Saccharomyces cerevisiae S288C: one gene and its partner. The protein of the gene in region 1 purifies or fractionates together with the protein of each later gene. This does not show direct contact. Each region holds a gene or a part of one and is shown in the gene's direction. Other genes may lie near its edges.

The links.
Region 2: the proteins of ATP25 (region 1) and LSM5 purify together in Saccharomyces cerevisiae (affinity purification with mass spectrometry, with the first as the bait; one large-scale study listed by BioGRID). This does not show direct contact.

Annotation. Positions count from the first base shown.
Region 1 is NC_001145.3:451,477-470,254, reverse strand, and holds ATP25 (Atp25p), read left to right. Parts: upstream 1-7,645; coding exon 7,646-9,484; downstream 9,485-18,778. Other genes in the region: LAF1 (Laf1p), read left to right, coding at 1-407; SRT1 (ditrans,polycis-polyprenyl diphosphate synthase), read left to right, coding at 779-1,810; MYND-type zinc finger protein MUB1, read right to left, coding at 2,093-3,955; YMR099C (glucose-6-phosphate 1-epimerase), read left to right, coding at 5,428-6,321; putative GTPase MTG1, read left to right, coding at 9,728-10,831; pyridoxine biosynthesis protein SNZ1, read right to left, coding at 10,954-11,847; SNO1 (putative pyridoxal 5'-phosphate synthase), read left to right, coding at 12,296-12,970; CTF13 (Ctf13p), read right to left, coding at 12,994-14,430; snoRNA-binding rRNA-processing protein UTP15, read right to left, coding at 14,699-16,240; AIP1 (Aip1p), read left to right, coding at 16,776-18,623. UniProt on the Saccharomyces cerevisiae protein: mRNA stabilization factor specific for the 0.95 kb OLI1 mRNA. Also involved in OLI1 ring formation.
Region 2 is NC_001137.3:458,595-463,374, forward strand, and holds LSM5 (RNA-binding protein LSM5), read left to right. Parts: upstream 1-3,990; coding exon 3,991-4,272; downstream 4,273-4,780. Other genes in the region: putative ubiquitin-specific protease UBP5, read right to left, coding at 1-1,629; high-affinity iron permease FTR1, read right to left, coding at 1,932-3,146; YER145C-A (uncharacterized protein), read right to left, coding at 3,792-4,229; cohesin-loading factor complex subunit SCC4, read right to left, coding at 4,374-4,780. UniProt on the Saccharomyces cerevisiae protein: Component of LSm protein complexes, which are involved in RNA processing and may function in a chaperone-like manner. Component of the cytoplasmic LSM1-LSM7 complex which is involved in mRNA degradation by activating the decapping step.

The DNA of each region.
Region 1 (18,778 bases):
ATAGAGAGGTTCGGAGAAGGTTTAACAGTTCTGATTCTTTGCATTCTTTGAGTCGAAGCTTCAACTCGAGAGCGAAATCAAACTTGGCTGGCCAACCGGCAGCGGCGTATACTAATACTGGAAAAGGCTATGCAACGGGACGTGGATACTCTAATATATGTCCCAAAAGCAGTACATCACTAAAAACACTCGGCAGTAATGCACAGCCAAGAACACCAAGGGAAAGCATGTCATCTATTTTCTCCAATGCACATGGGCCTACCACTCCAACGAGCGCAATGAATTTACCTATCCGTTGCAATGTTTGTAACGGTTCAAGGTTTGAGGCTTTTTCTGGTGCTAATGACCAACAAGATAGAAACTATTATTGCGTAGACTGCGGTACAGTAGTTAATAACTTCCGCTAACGCTGATGGAGTATTTTTTTTCCGTGGATGATACCTTTAAATGCATATTAATCTTCGTACATAAAGTAAAGAAACACGATACACTTAAATAAATTTTAATCTAATAATTAATGAACGCTAACAATGAGCCTATCATTTGTTGCCGATATACTATAACGTATCTCTTCGAAAGAACAAAACGGAGTGAGTGCCTGTTAAGGGTAACTACTCCAAACTGAGTGGACCTCGGCGGCTAAAGCTATACTTTTTCTGTTATTTAAGGGACCTAAAAATACACACAGAGTAGATTAAGATTTGGTGCACTTTTCTCAATTTATCAACTTATAAAGAACAGGCTGCCTTTCAAACATAGGACGTTTCTGTTGACCATAATGAAAATGCCCAGTATTATTCAGATTCAGTTTGTAGCCCTAAAAAGGCTTTTGGTAGAAACCAAAGAACAGATGTGCTTCGCAGTGAAAAGTATATTTCAGAGAGTATTTGCGTGGGTTATGTCATTAAGCTTGTTTTCATGGTTTTATGTAAATCTTCAGAATATTTTGATAAAAGCATTAAGGGTAGGGCCAGTGCCTGAACATGTCTCCTTTATCATGGATGGTAACCGGAGATATGCCAAGTCAAGAAGGCTACCAGTAAAAAAAGGCCATGAAGCTGGTGGGTTAACGTTACTAACACTACTGTATATCTGCAAAAGATTGGGTGTAAAATGTGTTTCCGCCTATGCATTTTCTATTGAAAATTTTAATAGACCAAAAGAAGAAGTAGATACGCTAATGAATTTGTTTACGGTAAAGCTTGATGAATTCGCAAAAAGAGCCAAGGACTATAAGGATCCCTTATACGGATCTAAAATAAGAATAGTAGGTGATCAATCTTTACTATCTCCAGAAATGAGAAAAAAAATTAAAAAAGTGGAAGAAATCACACAGGATGGAGACGATTTCACTTTATTTATATGTTTTCCTTACACTTCAAGAAATGATATGTTACATACTATTCGTGATTCAGTTGAAGACCATTTGGAAAATAAATCACCAAGGATTAATATAAGAAAATTTACTAATAAAATGTACATGGGTTTCCATTCCAATAAATGTGAATTATTAATCAGAACAAGTGGGCATAGGAGGCTCTCAGACTATATGCTATGGCAAGTACATGAAAATGCCACCATTGAATTTAGTGATACGTTGTGGCCAAATTTTAGCTTCTTTGCTATGTACCTGATGATTCTCAAATGGTCCTTCTTTTCCACCATTCAAAAATATAATGAGAAGAATCACTCATTGTTTGAAAAAATACATGAAAGCGTTCCTTCAATATTTAAAAAAAAGAAAACAGCTATGTCTTTGTACAACTTTCCAAACCCCCCCATTTCAGTTTCGGTTACAGGAGATGAATAAGTAAAAGTGCAAAACTAGAAAGCCCAAGAGAGGGCAAAGAACATTCTGAAAACTCCCTGATTCTTCCATACCTATTACCATATTACATCATTTTTAATTAGTAGTCTTTTAATTATCTATTATATCCGGTATATAAAATATCCTTGCGCCAAGTGTATAGCTAATAAAATGTAAAAAAAAAAAAAATTAGGAACAAAAAATAAAAAAAGCGAAAACAAAAAACTCCGTTAATGAATATTTCATGATCTTGTTAAACCTAGGTCATCGAAATCCCCTTGTACTTTACTCAGGTATGCTATTTTCATCCCTATTGCTTATTTCATCAGGTACGGTGGTGGATATATTAGGAGTGAACGTACTGGTAGAATTCGAAACATCAGCTGCTGTAGTAGCGGTGGCATTTAAAGAACTAGGCTCATTTGGGGTATTGACACCTGTGGTAGTATTCGTGGATCTCATATGACTTGATCCAACTTCGTGACACCAATACCTATGATATCCCCATGCTTTTAATTGACACTTTCGTGAGCAATATTTCGTTCTTTTGCATCGACGACATTTTGCAAATTGTCTTGGAAAATCTTCCCATTTTCCGCACGAAAAATTGGCACACTGACGCACACCTAAGATCTCATTTTTTCGACATGAATTTCTCATGATGACAGAACTCCAATATATAACATCATGTGTATTTTCTGCGCTCACTGTATATTTTTCGACTAAGGGGAAGATGTTTACAACATTTGTTAGTACCTTGTTTTTGTAAACAATATTTGTTAATTCCTTTTTCATTTTATCGTAGCTCCAGCGCCTTTCAAAGTTATCAGATATTTTCTTCCTTAAATTAATTCTTTCCTTGTCTTTGCCATAGGCATTGTCGTCGCTAGGTTTCGGTACACGGTAGCGCTCAAACAAATTAAGAACGGGACAGTGGTTATTACATATTTCATTTTGTTCTTCTTGTTGACATCTGTTTGAGAGTTCTTCTAATTCTTTGAAAAATGGATCCATTTTGCTAGTATCTAGTGCCTTAACTTTGGAATTGTTTTCAGGATTTTTCGATAAATAAGGATATAATGAAGACAATTTTACAGTTACGTCTCTTTCTTGTTCTTCTAAGTCATTCTCTTCTGAGATTCTCTGTTTAATTTTGTAAGCCATACTTCTGAACGATAGGGATTCAACCAGCTCAACATTTTGAAGGGTTGATTTCATATATGTATACTTCGAAACAAAAGCTAATAACTGAAGCGACCATATAACGTCGTCTTGTTTGGGGACAATTCTTCCGAGAAAAAATTCACGTGGAGTGGAAATTGTAGGTCTATTAATGTCTGGTTGCGAAAAGAAATTCTTATGTGCATCAAAATTTTCACTTTCTACTTCACTATCAATATCAATGTCGTCGTCGTGTCTTTCCTGGTCAGGTTCAAAATTGCTAGCTAGGTCTGCAAACCGGCCCCATATATCACTAAAATCAGTTGGAATTGTCATAGACGGTGCCACTAATCGTTCGTTTAGAAAATTTTTGTCAGTTGACAACTTCAATTTATCCTGACCTGTAATGAACTCTATATACTGCTGATATGTTTCATTCTCATCTTTTCTCATGAATTTATACATTGTCTCCGTGGTTATCCCTTTGAAGTCAAAGGTCATTGTTTGATCTTTGATGAAGTCGTAATTTTTATGATATAGTAAATAGTTATCCAATACTGTGACCAGCACAGATAAGACCCCAGACATTACCACTTTTTTACGAATTTGTTCTGTCCCTCTAGTACCTGTCAATACTAAGCACTGAAATGTTAAAGTCCATTTCCAAGCGCATAGTGCTAGTCTTTTCTCCTTCCATAGATCCTTTATGTTTTCGTGCTCATTAAAATTTTCTAAATCCAAATCCAGCAACTCAAACAAACTTAAATGACAACTCCTCAATATTGAGACTAATCTTTCGAGAGCACCGTCGTTAGCTACCGTTTCCCTAACTTTTGATGAATTAGAGGTTAGATATGTTAAGTAGTTTAGGGAGTTTATTAACGGAATACTAGAGTTGATATCCAATGCCCTTCGGTCATAGACAGTAGATGTTATTGTTACTATAGGCTTGTTCGACGTTAATGATCGATGATTAGAGTCTCTCATTTCTTTACCTTTTCTTTGTTTTGAATATTTCAAATTACGTTCTATACGCTGTTATGATATGTTAATATAGCAAAAACAAACAAAAACTCCCAGGGAAATGAATTGAAAAATGCAACAAATAGGGACCTCACCTTTGTATAATGGAAGATTCCCAAGTTTCACTTATAGTTGATCAATGGGTATGATGAAATTAGCAAAGTAAAAAAGGGAATGTTTAATGGTTCAACTTAGATAAATGGAAGGTTGAATATGAGAACCAACAAAAATAAAAAATAAATAAAGTCTCAAATTATCTATATCGCTCTAATGAGGAAGTCACTGTGCACACTTACAGAAACTATATAAAAAACGGATATTTTTCTCTTCAGGTAGGGAAGTTTGTCCAGCACTTTCTTCCTTGTGAGCTGCTCTAGGTCTTTCGTTTGTATAGGCCGACCATCAATAACCCAACTCTCAAATTTTGCCACTGAACACCCATACAATACATAACCAAAGTATTCTAGTTGTTATCCTAGCTCGATGCATTGTTGTAGTAGGCCTAATAAGAAGATAGTTCAACCAAGAAAAATAGTCAAAAGGCTTTTTGCCGTTTGAACCATCATAAACTTATGGAAGCCATCTAAATAATTTTCCTTTTTCCTGGTTCCTTTCTATGTATCCAAAGATATATATTAAGTAGCCCACTTCTAGCCAACTTCTAGCCCACTTCTTAGGTAGTAACTATACGCAGCTGCTCCAGGAGGGAAAGAAAAAACCAACGGTCTATATTGTAATAACTATTAGTTTTCTTTCTCTTTCCGTGGGCTTCAACGGCCTTTATATAGCTCTTATTATTCGGAGTTGCTATTGGCGGCTAATATCTTGCGAAAAACGTGAGAATATGAACTTTAAAGTACACATGACTCGATTACTGATAACAAAATTGAGAGGGAAATACATAAGTCAAAATAATAAATGTCTGATGGACCATCTAACAGTTCACCTCGATCTACATATATTTCAATGCGAGAATGATTAATTCTTGCCATTGACAAACAACCCTTTTACTGCCAGCGCCTTTCATAACCATGTAGTTTTATATGCCTAATTATAATAAAGCATGACATATAATGCCAACCCCATATTTATATAGTTAACTTGAAACCGAGATTCATCTATTGCACCAGGAAAAGTGCCTTCTTCTTAAAACATAAGTTACGTCCCGACCATTCATCTAAACGGCATCAATCATTGCAGCAGAAGAAATAGTGTGTAGATGTCCTCGTTCGCTAGACGCAGTCAATGATAACAAGGTCTTTCTTCAAGCTGTCTTTCCATAAAAAGGTATCGCAAATGGGGTCACCAATGCGCCTTTTATTTTTCACGCCGAAAGAAAACTTAGTAGGTCCCTAGAAATGAATAAAGAGGTGATTCTGAGGTTCATTATAAGCCTTTGGTAAAACTTGAACCAAGAAAGATTAAAACACAAAGCCATGCCTATCAAAGAAACTGATAAAGAAGTTGTTTTGACTCATCCAGCTGATGAGACCACCAGCGTTCATATTCTAAAGTACGGTGCTACAGTTTATTCTTGGAAATTGAAATCTGAAGAACAGTTGTGGTTGTCTACTGCTGCTAAATTGGATGGTAGCAAACCTGTGAGAGGTGGTATACCTTTGGTCTTTCCTGTATTCGGGAAAAATAGCACCGATGAACATTTGAGTAAATTACCTCAACATGGTCTTGCAAGAAATTCTACTTGGGAGTTTTTGGGTCAAACTAAGGAAAACCCACCGACCGTACAATTTGGCTTGAAACCAGAAATTGCTAACCCAGAATTGACCAAATTGTGGCCAATGGATTATCTTTTGATTTTGACTGTTGAATTAGGCTCCGATTATTTGAAAACTGCCATAGAAGTAGAAAACACATCTAGTTCCAAGGAATTAAAGTTCAACTGGTTGTTCCATACATACTTCCGTATCGAAGATATTGAAGGAACAATGGTCTCTAATTTAGCTGGCATGAAACTTTATGACCAACTGTTGAAGGAATCCTACGTCGACAAGCACCCAGTCGTTACCTTCAATCAAGAAACCGATGTAATTTATCAGAATGTCAGCGCCGAACGGGCCATTCAAATAGTTGACAAGGGCGTTCAAATTCACACTCTAAAAAGATACAACTTGCCCGACACTGTTGTTTGGAATCCATGGATTGAGAAGTCTCAAGGGATGGCCGATTTCGAACCAAAAACTGGTTACCAACAAATGATATGTATTGAACCTGGTCATGTTCATGATTTTATTTCCTTGGCTCCTGGTAAAAAATGGAATGCTTATCAATTACTTTGCAAAGAAGAATTGAAATATCAAGCTATTCAATAAATAATATAAAAAAATGTAGCAACGGTAATTTTTATAAAGTAAATTCCCAGTTGTATACTTTTCTTAATGTGGGCTATTTGATTACCTCCATCCTTTATCTTTGTTTTTGTTGACGAACAACTAAAGCAACATTCTGTTTACTAAGACTCTTATTTAATTCCAAGTGCAGCAAGAACAAATTGCCAAAAGCGTATTGTTAAACTTGTTCTGGCAGCATATTATCGTAAAATTAAGTAACGTTTTTAAAAATGACACTGAATTCTACTTTGTGATGATCAAACAACACCCACCTGGTCTGATAAAAAAATCTCCGCGACGGGGAATTGAACCCCGATCTGGCACGCGACAAGCGCCCATTCTGACCATTAAACTATCACGGACAAATTTCTGAAGTTTTGTACTTTTACCAGTCCATCTAATACCATATATTTTGATAATAATTATGTCTTTGACAGTAACTTATCATCAGGACTGTTGGAATAAAAATCAAAAATCAACTATCGTCTATCAACTAGTAGTCACACTACCAGTATATTATGATATACGGTGTTAGATGATGGCATAAGGTATGAGAAGCTGTCATCGAAGTTAGAGGATGCTGAAATGCAAGGATTGATAATGTAATAGGATAATGAAACATGTAAAACAGAGTGAAGAATAATCGTAATACTATTATGTAGAAATATGGATTCCATTTGAGGGTTCCTATATCCTCGAGGAGAACTTTTAGTATATTTTGTGTACTATTATTATAGCTGTTAAGTATAATTGGATCCTAACAATTCTCATTATTTGTCAAATTCTCATCATCTATATATTAGACGCCGCATATAGGAAACAGCGATCAAACTTTAACGAAGCGAACATACAATATTCCTGATGTAATAATACCAATCAGCGAACTGTACGAAACAAATAGAAGAACGTTATATTATATGGGATTTTACACTTTTTTGGTGGTATCATATATGCTTGAAAAGATCCTGCAGCATTTCTATATACCTGATAATATTGGTTTTATTAGAAATGGGGTCACAATCATCCGAACTATCGTAACTTTAGAAATAATCCGTCTTTCTTAAATAGTACTCTAGTACACAGTAATGGTATTTGTTTTTACTAGTATTTCTTGACATCTTTTTCTAACCTCTCTTCTAATATACTTGCAATCTTCTGATAATTATGCTTTTCATCCCGATAAAGAGAAACAATGAGGACCATTCAGCCAAAAAAAAAAAAAGCAAGTTAAGCTACTAAGAAAGATCGACACCAAGTGAAGATTAAGTGTAATAGCCTGCTTATTCAAAAATTGAGGTTTGTTGACATGAATAAATTCTGTCTACTACCTTTCCATGGCAAGAGGATAGGCGTGGCCAATATTCCTTTTACCATATTATTCAAAAAGGGCCCTTATTTTCTTCATAGTCACATCACAGCAGTTTATTACTCGACAAAGGGCAAAAATGACAGTCATGAACAAAGTCGTGTATCCAAAAAGTCTACTTTTACCCCTCTGGAAACACCTTGGTACCTCAGGATTGTTGACAATGAAAAGGAACTAATGGAAGGTAAGAAAAATAACCACCACACGATGAACAAAGAATTGGAGATACCTAAAACCTCTCCAAACTCATTAAGAAAAATAGCAGACCTCCTAACTGGTAAACTTGGTCTGGATGACTTCCTGGTTTTCGATTTACGGAAGAAAAGCCCAAACTCTGTTTCAGCCGTTAATAAGTTGGGTGACTTCATGGTCATATGTACAGCAAGATCTACCAAACATTGTCATAAAAGTTTCTTAGAGTTGAACAAGTTTTTGAAGCACGAATTCTGTAGTAGTGCATACGTTGAAGGAAACTTTAATGAGCGACAAGAAAGTAGAAGAAAAAGAAGATTAGCAAGAAAATCCAACCTTAGTAAACTATTAGGTAGAAGCTCTGAATGCTCTGCAAAAGACTTAAATAGTGAGGCTTGGTATATGATTGATTGTCGTGTCGATGGTATTTTTGTAAATATTTTGACACAGAGAAGGCGTAATGAATTGAATTTAGAAGAGCTGTATGCACCTGAAAATGAGAAATCTAAGTTCCAAAATATAGATTCAGGTAATGTCCCTACTATTTCAGGGGTAAATGAAATTTCAAGCAACAATAATATTCTTTTAGGCCTAAGAAGACTGGCCCAGCAAAGGAGAAGGTATTCAACTATCAACCCAAACGGGCTAAGTAATTTAAGATACTTTCTACAAAAGGAAGACTTCAAAGGAGCCAATAAGATAATTCAGAGTAGTAGTGGTACTGAAACTCACAATATACGTACTTTGGAGCATGTTAAAAATACTTTAAAGGATTTGGTAGGACAAGAGAGGAAAGTAGATGTTGTTCAATGGAAGTCCTTATTTGACGAACATTCAACTTTTTTAACCATAAATCAATCGGCTGCATATTGGCCACTACGACTAGAATATGCGATACTTCTAAACAAAGCAGACCCACAATTTTATTCAGATCGTGTTTTCCTCAAGGATTATCTACTTTTAAAAAAATCGTTGGGGCAAGAGTTAATAAGGGAAGATCTAATCGCTCTTTTAGAAATGGTTTTGAAAACGCAGCATTCTAGTCATTCATACTTTAACCTAGTAAAGCAAAATAGGGTGATTATCAGAGCTTTGAACCTATTTAAAGGTCTACAAACAGAGGACGATGGCTCAGTTGTTTACGATGAAGTGGTAATATCCCTTCTTTTAAATTCCATGGTCGCGGATGAACGGGTAAAATTGAGATCACTCTACGAGACAATAGACCACATTTTCCAAACATTTGGAGATAAGTTGACTTCAGGCATGATTGTCTCAATATTGCAAAACTTGGCCAAAATCAAAGACTGGAATAAGCTACTTCAAGTCTGGGAAGCTATCACACCAACGGAAGGGGAAGGTCAGGACAAAAGGCCCTGGAATGAATTTATAAATGTTATCAATCAAAGCGGTGATAGTCACGTTATATCGAAAATCGTAAATAATGGTCATTTGCTATGGATCAGACGTTTAAATGTTAACGTAACTCCGGAGTTATGCAACTCCATTAAAGCGTTATTAAAAACCGCTGGAATGGAGAATTCCACATTGGAAGAATTCCTAGTCCGTGGAACAAACAATCAATAGTATTACCTGTATATAATATCTTAATCTCTCGTCGTTCGCCTTATTTATATTTGAATCAAATATTTAATTCTGCCACATGGTAGGTTCATTTTGCCGCAGATCAAAGAACACGGACCATCATGTCAAAAGTACACAATTTTTGTCTTTTCGAAACAATTTGGTTTAGTTATTAGGAGAAGAAAGAACGAATGATAATGCTCATTACTCAGACCTGAATGCAAAAAAGCCAAATCAAATACAGAAATGCACATAAATGTGAGAGGAACTAGGAAAATAATTTCCAACGTTTCATCCTTCACACCAAGATATGAATTTCCAAAGTACAGTATGCCTCTCACTGATTTCAAGGGACACCAAGTCAAAGCTCTTAAAACATTTGAAAAGTTGCTTCCTCAAATGAATATGATAATAGAACTACGTGATATACGTGCCCCGTTATCTACAAGGAATGTGGTTTTCGATCGAATAGCAAGAAAGGAACACGATGTGATGAAATTAGTGGTATACACTAGAAAGGATCTTATGCCCGGCAATAAGCCATATATAGGAAAGTTAAAGAATTGGCATGAAGAGCTGGGAGAAAAGTTTATTTTACTGGATTGCCGAAACAAAACTGACGTCAGGAATCTACTAAAAATACTAGAATGGCAAAATTACGAACTAGAAACAAATGGCGGATATCTACCTATGGGATACCGAGCATTGATTACTGGCATGCCAAATGTTGGAAAATCTACTTTAATAAATAGCTTGAGGACAATTTTTCACAATCAAGTGAATATGGGAAGAAAATTTAAGAAAGTAGCCAAAACTGGTGCAGAAGCTGGTGTTACTAGAGCCACAAGCGAGGTTATTAGAGTAACTTCACGGAATACGGAATCAAGAAATGAAATATACTTGATAGATACTCCAGGAATCGGTGTTCCCGGTCGCGTTTCAGATCATAATAGAATGCTAGGACTGGCGTTGTGTGGTAGTGTTAAAAATAACCTTGTAGATCCAATATTTCAAGCGGATTACCTTTTATACCTAATGAACTTGCAAAATTTGAACGATGGAAGAACAGAGCTTTACCCTGGAAGCACCAATTCTCCCACAAATGATATATATGATGTTTTAAGAAGGCTTCAAGTGAATAAAAGCCAAAATGAAAAATCAACGGCTATCGAGTGGACTAACAAATGGAGGTTGCATGGAAAGGGTATCATATTTGACCCTGAGGTACTGTTGAATAATGACGAGTTTTCTTATAAAAACTATGTAAATGATCAATTGGAAAAGTTAGGAGATCTTTCGTATGAGGGATTGTCTAACAAACTAAAAGGGAACCCCAATCAAGTATTCTAGTAAATAATATCCAGCATACATAAGCTTATCTAATAATTAGATCATTTTACAATGTGTACCGAGTAATACAAAGTTGAGGGGGGAAAAAGTGTTATAATGCTCAAAATACCTGTTCAAAGAAATCACCACCCAATTTCGGAAAGTCTTACTCCATTGGAAGCATGACTAATAGATTCGATTGATACACCACCCATTAACTCTCCTAAGTCACTAGATACTTCCAACAATTTGCTGGGATTGTCAAAGTGAGTGGTAGCCTCTACTACTGCAGTGGCCAACCTTACAGGATTAGATGATTTAAAAATTCCTGAGCCAACAAACACACCATCACAACCCAACTGCATTAACAATGCGGCATCGGCTGGCGTTGCTACACCACCTGCAGCAAAATTTACTACTGGCAACTTACCTTTTTCTAAAACATCTTTCAGCAAAGAAACTGGTACCCTCATTTCCTCAGCAACTTTTGCAATGTCATCTTCGCTCTTCAATTGTTGGCACGCCTTTATCTCCTCTGTAATTCTCCTTATATGCTTGACGGCTTCAGAGACATCGCCCGTTCCAGCTTCACCCTTGGTACGAATCATAGCGGCGCCTTCATTAATTCTTCTCAAAGCTTCACCTAAGTCTTTAGCGCCACAAACAAATGGAACTTTGAATTTGTCCTTTTCAATGTGGTGAGTCCAATCAGCAGGAGTCAAGACTTCACTTTCGTCAATATAGTCAACTTCCAATGCCTCAATAATTTGAGCTTCAACAAAATGGCCAATCCTTACCTTAGCCATGACGGGAATGGAAACGGAGTTCATGATGTCCTTAATCATCTTCGGATCTGACATGCGGCAAACCTTTCCTGACTTACGCATATCTGCTGGGATGGATTCTAATGCCATTACCGCACATGCACCAGATTTTTCAGCTATTTTTGCCTGCTCTGGAGTAACAACATCCATAATAACGCCACCTTTTAACATTTGGGCGAGACCACTCTTGATCTTAAAGTCTTCTCCAGTCATCGTGATAATTAACTGAATATTAGTACTGTGTATATTTGCTAGTCGTTCCTAAAGGTTTCTCCAACAATACCATAGACTTCGTCCATAGCTCTCAGCGTCCTCCTATTTATATCGAAAATGGTACTTCGCAGCCAGAATTACAGACGTAACTAACGGTGCGGCAGAGTGTGTCAGAGTCATGAAGAAATGGCGGCGCTACCTGAAAAGTAGTGAAAAAGCCCGGCTTTCAACCCTTACCCTTGTCGGCTGAGTCATTATGTCATGATGAGCTATTCCAACTAGTGCCATAAATTCCAACTGAGTCAGTAAACGGCATTTATCAGCAATAACTGGTCACGAACTCTTTGAATGTTTTATTCTTTCTTCCAAAAATCACGTTGATGCCACCAGGTTTTTTTTTCTTATTATTTCATTTCGTTAAATAGAAAGAAAAACCATATCTTAAAGTATGCACAAAACCCACAGTACAATGTCCGGAAAGTCGATGAAAGTAATTGGGGTTTTGGCGTTGCAAGGTGCCTTTTTGGAGCATACCAACCATTTAAAAAGGTGTTTGGCTGAAAACGACTACGGAATAAAGATAGAAATCAAAACTGTAAAAACTCCTGAGGATCTAGCCCAGTGCGACGCCTTAATTATTCCCGGAGGAGAATCTACGTCGATGTCCCTCATCGCTCAAAGAACAGGCTTATATCCTTGTTTATACGAATTTGTTCATAATCCGGAAAAGGTAGTTTGGGGTACTTGTGCTGGTCTCATCTTTTTAAGCGCGCAATTAGAAAACGAAAGTGCCCTAGTAAAGACTTTAGGTGTGTTGAAGGTCGACGTGAGAAGAAACGCATTTGGAAGACAAGCTCAATCTTTTACACAAAAGTGTGATTTTTCCAATTTCATACCTGGCTGTGATAATTTTCCTGCTACATTTATTCGCGCACCCGTGATCGAGAGAATTCTTGATCCTATCGCGGTTAAAAGTTTATATGAATTGCCAGTGAATGGAAAGGATGTGGTTGTAGCTGCAACGCAAAATCATAATATCCTTGTGACTTCTTTTCATCCAGAGCTTGCTGACAGTGATACAAGATTTCATGATTGGTTTATCAGACAGTTTGTTTCTAATTAAAATACCGCCGGTTTTCCACATTTTTATATTACCAAAACCTGAGAGATTTTTTCACATCGATAAATCTCTACTCGTTTACTATCGAACAATGCTCTAGGTACGATGATATTGTTAAAAACTTCAGATACATTTTGTAGCTTGATATGGTTCAAAGTCCGAAAAGATAGCCAAACTATTGCTTGACATCGAAGGTATGTTATTTGATTAATTTCACTTTTGTCAAGCTCTTTTATTCTTGTGTGTCGTAAATTAAAAAATTTTGTGAATTTACTATCATCTTCCTTTATGTACAACGATTTAAAAGTTCTCTTATCGACTTTTAGTTCCTTTAGTATATTTTCCTCGATGTTCCACCACTTGATTTTACTTACACGTTTCATTGTCAGAGATTTAAAATTTTTGGGAAAGACAATGCTATTCAGGTCGATGTAAGCTACTCTACTTAATACAAGCTTTTGCAAGTTGTCCCATCTTGTAAAGTCAGCTAGTCCGGTTCTGGAAATTTGATTCATGCGTGATAGGCGTATTTCATTTATCCTACGTTTCACTATGTAACTAATCGTTTTACCAGGATTGTCTCTGAACCCATGAAAATTTATTAGCAACTCATATAATTTCTCTCCTCTCACAGTGATCTTCCGCAGGCTCTTCATGGATTCCATACTTCTTATTGTTCTTATAACAGAAATACTTGTTAGTTGGTTGTGCGTTGCTCCCACATTGCCATTATCTGAATGTGATCTTTTGGATGCTGACCTTTTCTTGTTTTTAATTGTGGAGCTAGGTGAGGAGTTTTCGTCAGAATTAGCTCCACTAACATCAACATCTTTCTCTTCTCCTACTTCTTCATCTTGTCCAAATTGTACCTCCCCGATTGTTGCGAATAAATCTTTCTGTTCTAAAATTGATAAGCATTTGTCTACTAGTTGTGGAGTTAGATTATCAATGTTGAATTGAATATTACTTACATTAAGTAAGTCAAGCTCGTCAAAAGCAACACTGTCTATCACCCACTTCTTGTACTCTTTAAAAGTATACCAAACTTCTAACATACTGGCCTTATTGAAGTAGGCCAGTCGAAGTTCATTATCAAGGTACGTCCATTCTAATGCATCTATAAGCGTTCCGTCATAAAGATGGTTTACTTTGAAACAGTCCAAAACCAGGCAATCATAGCGCAACCAAAATGCATACTCAAGCCATTTTTCAATGAGTTGCGGAGAGTATTCGAAAATGTTCAAATACGTGGCAAAAACAGGATACATGTATCTCAATAATTTCTTAGATCTCTTAGACCTTTTATAACTTGGTTTTCCTGGAAGCTCCACATCATTAGATTTGTATAATATATCTATTGGGTAGGGATGTGCTCCGCAAAAATTACCATCTAAATGGAAGTAAACTTCTTTTCTAATGTCAATTGGTAACTCTAAGAATCTAACAGGATTGAAAGAAGGCATCAAGCGACATGGACTTCTGGGGACTCACAGTCAGCTTTCTGTTGATAGCATCTCATCTCACAATGTTTTGTTTTCAAGCCCTCGAAGGTAGTTAAACGCGAAAACGTATCAAAATGCAAAGCACTCTAAAATGAAATTTATACAGGTTCCTTTTTTCAATAAAAAGAGAAGATATTATTTTTTTCGATTACAATGAGAAAGAGATATATATGTATGCCTGAATATCTATAAAATAGATACAAATTAAAATCTATATGCTAATATTTCCTTAACTCGTTAAAAGTTGAAGCATACCTTCAATTCTTTGAGCTTCTTTAGACTTATGAATTTCATGTCTAACTTTAGTTTTCAAATCTATCATCAATTCTTGAAGAACTGGAGAGCTTTCTAACGTATTCCCATATAATTCTAAAACCACGGCGACCCAATCCGCTACAATAGATGCTGATCTCACATCTTCAATACCTTTTAAGCACCAATTCAGTAGCGGCTCTAATGTAGATTCATCTCTACCATATAGCGCTACACGAACTTTGCCACGTTTGCGTAGTTCTTGAAGAACAGTAAGTGTCAACTCTTTGGCCATACCTGGTACAAAGGCATTGTCGAGTGCTTCGCTCCATTTAAACTGATTTATGTTCCTTTCGAATGCACGCATACGACGTTGAGATCTTACCTTATCATTGTGGATTATATGCTCTTGATCACCTTGGTATTCCGAGCCTCGCATCATTCTCTGGAAGTTATTACTTTTCGCATTCTTATTAAAACTGGCGGGTGCGTTTTCTTTATCGGAAGAACGTTTCTCTTTCTTTTTAGTTCTAATGGCTAGTAGTCCTGATGATAAACCTGCTACTAAATGCCTATTCCCTTGTGCGGTACTAGGGGAGACAGCACAACTTAGTACGGGACCCGAAAATTTCCAGCCAAATTTGACTTGGAAATTGTCTAAAGGATCAAAGACTTTGACATGACCATCTAAGGAAGAAGCGATCAACGCCGATTGCATTGGAGAATCAAAATTTTCAACATAGTCCAAGCATGTCACAGCCTTATTGAAATTGCCACGTTCGTATAATTTCTTGTTACTGGTCAAGTCCCACACTTTGAAATTATTGCCACCGCAAGAAACAATTTGGGTTGGAGATACTGCAATAACATTTTCAACAGGTTGGTCATGATTCAGAGAATAAATTGGCGTGGATCCGCTAGATCTTGTGTCATATAATCTGATCAAACCGTCGTATGAGCCTGTTGCAACCAAATGTGGGGCTGCTGGGATAAATGATAAGGTACGAACATAGTCAGTAGCTCCGGTGAGCTCTAATTGTGGCTCATATGCGTTGGATATATCCCAAAGTCTTGTCACTCTATCGTCACTCGCCGTAGCCAGAATTTTGTTATCTTGCGTATGGAATTTCGTAACATGTGTGGGATGTGTGGAAGCGTTTATAGATAAAAGGATAGTCCTGGGATTATAACTGTCGTATACAGACACTAAACCGGTAGCATCACCGGCACAAAGCAATTTACCATCACTCCTAAAGGATGCAGAATAGACAACATCTTTAAATCTTGAAAAGGTCTTGATCACTTGCCTAGTTCTTGAAGAAAATATTTGAACTCTGGTTGAGGAAGTTACTGCAAAATCATGAGGATGTTGAGGATTGAATGATATGTGAGTAACGCTATTATGTTCTTTAACCAGTTGTGCGGAAGTGTATTGACGCCAGTAACGCTGCTCCGGGGTAGTCTGTTGAGGCAATAATGGAGCCTTCGAAGTGATTATTCTAGGCCTAGCAGTCGACATTTTATTTCTATATTATGATCCTTAGGCCTGTTCTTAGCAAAAACTGTTTCAAGGGACTTCTATTAGTGATGGGCATCGTTTTTTCTTCAAAGCTCGAAAGTTTTCAAAATTTTTCAGTTATTCCAAAAATTTTCAAAAGATAATTATCACTAATTACGAGGTATGTAGGTCACAGAACGTTAAATATTATGCTTACTTGGGGTGAATGACTAGAAACTGGAGGTGTATCAATACTAGCTATTGCTTTCCGTTCATAATCAGAACTGAACGCTACCAAGACGTTCTGAAACGTTTTTATTGGTCTCTAGTGTCCCGTTCGTTTGTTTTCGAAACAATGAATTGTATATGATGTACGGATGTTTTCACCCTGTAACCTGCCACCTTTTCTACCGAAGGCATATATGTCAGATCTTTGATTAATGATCATTATTTAATTATAAGGGGAAGCAACTCAGCACTATTCTGCCTTTTGCAACTCGCAAATACAGTTTTTAAGGTATATTAACGGGCAAAAGTAGCAAAGTAAACAAAAATAATGTCATCTATCTCTTTGAAGGAAATTATACCACCTCAGCCTTCGACACAGCGTAACTTTACTACGCATTTATCGTATGACCCTACAACCAACGCAATTGCTTACCCATGTGGAAAATCTGCATTTGTACGTTGTTTGGACGATGGAGACAGTAAAGTACCTCCAGTAGTACAATTTACTGGTCATGGCTCTTCGGTAGTCACAACGGTAAAGTTCTCTCCAATTAAGGGTTCCCAGTACCTATGCTCCGGTGACGAATCTGGAAAAGTGATTGTTTGGGGATGGACATTTGACAAAGAAAGCAATTCTGTTGAAGTGAATGTTAAGTCTGAATTCCAAGTTTTAGCAGGTCCAATCAGCGATATCTCCTGGGATTTTGAAGGGCGAAGACTCTGCGTTGTGGGAGAAGGTCGTGATAACTTTGGTGTTTTCATATCCTGGGATTCTGGTAATTCCTTAGGTGAAGTTTCAGGTCACTCACAACGCATCAATGCTTGTCATTTGAAGCAATCTAGACCTATGAGATCTATGACAGTTGGAGATGATGGATCTGTTGTCTTTTATCAAGGACCTCCATTTAAGTTCTCTGCCAGTGACAGAACACACCACAAACAAGGCTCATTTGTCAGGGATGTTGAATTTTCACCTGACAGCGGTGAATTTGTTATTACGGTAGGGTCTGACAGAAAGATTTCTTGCTTTGATGGCAAATCAGGTGAGTTTCTTAAATACATAGAGGATGATCAAGAACCAGTTCAAGGTGGTATATTTGCACTATCGTGGCTTGATTCCCAAAAGTTTGCTACCGTAGGAGCAGACGCTACCATTAGGGTTTGGGACGTCACGACTTCAAAATGCGTTCAAAAATGGACCTTAGACAAGCAACAACTGGGAAATCAACAAGTTGGTGTTGTTGCAACAGGAAACGGAAGGATTATTTCTCTTTCACTGGATGGGACCTTAAACTTCTATGAACTTGGACATGACGAGGTTTTAAAAACCATTAGTGGTCATAACAAGGGTATTACTGCTTTGACAGTCAACCCACTAATCAGTGGGTCATATGATGGTAGGATTATGGAATGGTCTAGCTCTTCCATGCACCAAGATCACTCCAACTTGATTGTATCATTGGATAATAGTAAAGCGCAAGAATACTCCAGTATTTCTTGGGATGATACTTTGAAAGTGAACGGTATTACTAAGCATGAATTTGGATCGCAACCAAAGGTTGCTAGTGCGAACAATGATGGCTTCACTGCAGTACTAACAAATGATGATGATTTGTTGATATTACAGTCTTTTACGGGCGATATAATCAAGAGTGTAAGACTGAACTCACCAGGCTCTGCCGTTAGCTTGAGCCAAAATTACGTTGCAGTTGGTTTGGAAGAAGGTAATACTATTCAGGTATTCAAATTATCAGATTTGGAAGTCAGTTTTGATTTAAAAACACCTCTTCGCGCAAAACCCTCGTACATATCAATTTCGCCATCTGAAACATACATCGCTGCTGGAGATGTTATGGGCAAGATATTGCTATATGATTTACAATCAAGAGAAGTGAAAACTTCAAGATGGGCTTTCCACACCAGTAAAATCAACGCCATTTCATGGAAACCTGCTGAAAAGGGAGCAAACGAAGAGGAAATTGAAGAGGACTTAGTTGCCACTGGTTCTTTAGACACCAATATTTTTATTTACTCCGTCAAAAGACCTATGAAAATCATTAAGGCGTTGAATGCTCACAAGGACGGTGTTAACAACCTTTTATGGGAAACACCATCTACCTTGGTTAGTTCTGGTGCGGACGCTTGCATTAAAAGGTGGAATGTTGTCCTCGAGTGAGATAAGAATATAAAGTAAACAATTACGTAACCTTAGAAAAATAGATATAAAAAAGTTTTACACTGTTTTTACCACAGTCCATATAAACTTGTAATTATTACCCGAATGCTTTGATTACTTCGCTCTTTTAAAAAAAAACCCGTTCGAACTATTAA
Region 2 (4,780 bases), on another chromosome or scaffold:
CTGCATTGAATCACTATACATGGGGTTGATATGGCCGCAAATTTTTTTAAACTGAATAGTCTGAACTGGTATCGTTCTTACGTTAGGAGGTGTGAATGCACCGTGTCTGTGCATATTATTGACCAAGATGGCGAAATTTTTAGCTAGCAACCCCTTAGAACCTCTTGAACTATCAAAATTAATAAAATTCAGATATGTGTTATCCAAAAACATTCGAACCAAATCGTGTGTTCCCACCAAACATTGAAGTATACAGTTCATATAACAACAGTTACCTATATTTTCCAATCCTACTATAAGATCTAGATCAAGCACTTGTGAGTTGTTTAGGATGGTCTGCCTCGACGAAGACAAGTTCTGTTGTGGTAAAGGCGGAATACGTGGCGAGAATACATTCGATGCAGGGGGCAAATAGGCATGGGCTTGTGCAGCGCGGATATCTGGCGATATTCTTTCCACAGTGTTTGCTTTATTTTGAATGGTCGAGGGTGTATTGAGTTTTGAGAGAGTGGTTGGTGGATGTGGACTAAATTTTTGAACGGTGGGAGAATTTCTGTTGGGGCTTGGTTGCGGTATAATGGGCAAATCTGAATAGTATAAGGGTAATTGAGGCCTTTGCACCGTTGTTAGCAAAGGCTGCGTATTCATGGATACCATCGGCATACTCTTATCTTTATTTGGAGATAGAGATTTCTGATTGAACAAGCCTGTTGGGACTTGCGGACTACCAAAAGCTGGCGTTGAAGACGAGGATGTAAGATGCGCTGTTTCACTGACAGATGATTGATACGCCCCACCTAATTTAACCCAGTTTGAGAACCCATTTTCCAAAATGAGTATTTTCGTCCCACTCAGCGGTTTAATTACTGAATTTTGGGAAAGAATCTTCGCAAGGATGCGAGTTTGCCTTTGCTGGAAATTATTATGCAATTGAGTGTCAGTATATAAAATAATGAACTTGAACTTGTCTCGATTTGAAAAGAAAGTGATATCTGAGTGCGGCGAAGTGATCAAAGAGACACTTTCAATTTGTTGGTCTGTAAAAGAATCCTTAAATGAGGCAGGATCGATGCATATAATGTTTTTGCATTTGATATGGGCCCTAACGAATTCAGACCTGGGCCGTACATCGATAAGCAAGAGAGCGTCACCATGAAAATGCAACATTGAACTTAATTTTCCAGGCTCTATAGTTTGCAACTGTATAAATTTAGGGTAATTTTCAATGACATTTCGAATCCGCTCAATATTTGGGTCATTATGCAAAAGCTGGATTCTCTCCCCGTACAAATTTCTAACATTCTGGTCCTTGTTGCTCGAAAATTCCTTTAGTCTTGGTAGAGTATCCTCCAAGAGCGTATATACGATCATGTAATATAAAAAAGCTGTTTCATTCAATCGGAGAAACCCCTTTGACAACCGGTTTGCATCTTCTTTAGGGGCCTGCATGGTTATATCCTGGCATGCGTCCACATAACTAGACCATATTTCTGCGCATTCTTGGAGCAAAGGCAGACACTCTTGTGGCACGTCGTCATCATCAAGAAACTTCTGAACTAAATGCCTAAGCCTGCCGAACCGCTCTTTAGCAGATTCGACAACCTCACTTAAGGCTTGTTCTGAGCCCATTACGCTTGTGCCTATTTGTGTAGAGAGATAATAAAGAAAGGACTCCACATACGTTGGAGAATACCTAGCAACTAAATATAGCTGGTGTTTACTTGATGTGTTGAAGTGAGGCGCAAGGAAAAAAGAAAAAAAATCAATGCCCGGTAGATCAATTGGACCAGGGGTTCTTGTTTTGCGACGCCGTACAGACAAGGCCAACTTTATAAAAACGATATTAGAAATTATTGTATATATGTATATAAATGTAGTATTTTTATCAACAGAAAATAGGTGGAAAACTCCCACCCTGTGCTAGACTTCATTCAAAGAGAGTCGGCTTTAACGTGGAGGACTTCCTTGTCTGTGGCGACGTTTTGAGACGAGGAATGACTGGTAGTTTGCTCGGGAAGTTCGTAGTTCTCTTGCACATTGATCTCACCATCTTCATTGAAGTTGATGTTCTCCATCTTGGCAAACAGTTGTCTCTTTTGCTCTTCCGTCAACTCCTGCTTTTTCTTGTTCTTGATCCAGTATCCTGGGTTCAAGTGTTTCAATTGTAAGTTTTTGGTGAAAGGCAAGTGACCACGCCTTTCTTCGAATATCATTAAACTCAACACAATGATAAGAACCAACCAATAGATGTTGTAACAAAGCATGGATGACAAGTAGCCGGTGTTCTGCCATCCAAGCAAAGCATTGAAGATATCCCACCCATTGTCCAGTTCTGGGTTGCAACAATTGACATGGTAAACGGCCTTTCTGATGTTATAAGACCCATTACCATCACCGCCTTCGGAAGCATCACCACCACTGGCAAGGTTGAATCTGTAATTTTCAAAGTACCACGCACCACGAGAGAAAAGACCGGCGGAGATCAGGTACAAGATCGAAGTAGACAAAATCAAGAAAATCTGCAGCGAGGATTTCGAAGCACCATAGTACAACAAATACCCAACAAGACCACCACATATCAAACCAACCACAACGGGCAATGGGTAAGCAGAGGCGTGCGAGCCCTGTGTGGTAATACCTGCACCGGCAACGAACACAACAGCTTCCAAACCTTCTCTCAAGACAGTAATAAACGGCAAAAGGAACATAGCATATCTTCTACTCAAGAACCCAATCTTGAAATAGTCTCTCTTACGGTGAGGAATCTCCACCAACGACCGCGCAATCTTCACTCTCCACTTACTCTGCATCTTATTCATTCTCAACATAGGAATACCCATCATCGAGATCATTATCGTCGCAATCATACAAAAGATACCTTCCCACAAGTCTTCCGCGCTTCCGAAAATATCCTTCTGCAGCGAATAGTACGCACCGATGAAACCTGCACCGATGGCCAGACAAATGATGAACCCGAGTAACACACCGACCCAAACCTGAATCCTTAATTTACGGTACAGCGCCCGGTCATGTTCCCCGATTGCCTGTTTCAAAAACGATAGCAGCACGGAAATAACAATCACTGCTTCCAAGCACTCTCTGAACACAACGAAGAAAACGGCCACGTTAAACACTTTGTTAGGCATGGCGGGAAGTATATGTGTGATGACCTGCTGAGAGAAGATTTCGACAACGTACAATCCGTCGTGTTATGTATTTTTTTGCTCACATTGAGCATTTTATATAACTAAAAGCTCAAGGTCGAACTACAGCCCATCGCTTCCACCGGGCCTTGCAACACCAACTTAGAAATCGGGTGCATTCATCTACGCTGTGCAGAGAATGAAATGCGCACCTTCTTACTGCTGCGACGGTGCTCGGCACGGCTTACGCGGGCGGGGGAAGGAAATAGCGGCCTGGCGTGAGTCGGCAGTCAGCGGCGGGCTCACTGTACTCGCTCGTTTAATGCACCAGCAGTATTCGCGCACTTAATAATAGTATTTCTGCACCCTGGCCTGGAAAGAATGCTCGATGCGCCCTGGTTGATTGGCGCAGAGCGTGTGTCAGTGCCGGACCCGATTTCTTTTTTTCTACACGTTGGTCTGATGTCTCAGGAGTTAGTAGTGACCGTGGTCAAGAAAAAAACAGGACGAAAAATTGTTGAGAACGTATACGTATATTGTATTCTTCTTTTTTTTCTTTGCTGCCCTTTTATTATCTATTTCATTTTTTAACCAGAGGCAATCGTAAGAGAGAGATAATATAGCCCTTTTTGGTCTTTTTTGGCACCTTCAGCCGGACCCTGCTCTTTTATTACCCGGATGCTCGGGTTTTGTCTTTGCATCCGGGTAGCAAAACAGAATACTTGCTTTCTTATTGAAGTAGAAAAAATACAGAGAAAGCGAAAAAGGCTTCCTTGGCGGATAGATGGTCTCACAACAAGCATAGCGTATACACGTGCACTCACAAGCATACACAGAAGCGCGCAAAATGAGTCTACCGGAGATTTTGCCTTTGGAAGTCATAGATAAAACAATTAACCAGAAAGTGTTGATTGTGCTGCAGTCGAACCGCGAGTTCGAGGGCACGTTAGTTGGTTTCGACGACTTCGTCAACGTTATACTGGAAGACGCTGTCGAGTGGCTTATCGATCCTGAGGACGAGAGCAGAAATGAGAAAGTTATGCAGCACCATGGCAGAATGCTTTTAAGCGGCAACAATATTGCCATCCTTGTGCCAGGCGGCAAAAAGACCCCTACGGAGGCGTTGTAAAAAGGCAAAAATTAACGCGAATTTGTATAGTGCATCTAAAAAAAATAATTAAGTATAAAAATAGATAAAGGAAATCAAGTGTTTCTTTTTTTTTTTTTGGTTTATTGTTTGACACTGGTGATTTGCTTAACCAGCGCCTCCAGCTTCGCGTTCGTGAGAGCGACGTCTTTTCCCCGCATCGCCACCGTACAATTCATTAAATGCCATATTCCGATCACGTATTGGACCTTGCGCATGCCGCCCTGCTGGCGGCACATATCGAAACACTTTGCTGAAATCGCATAGATCTCGCCCAGATCGTGTTCGAGCATTCGACCGCCTAAGTAGTTTACCAGTATTTGCAGCAACAGAGCCTTCTTCAATTTGAAGCGGTTGTCCGCAACGGCTTCTCCGGCAACGAACTTGTTGCTAGAGTAGAACTCGCGGAGCTTCGACACGTACTCGGCGCGCTGCTTGTCACTACATGGCAGCGGGTTCCAACTGAACGGCTCGAAATGGCTGAAAAGCC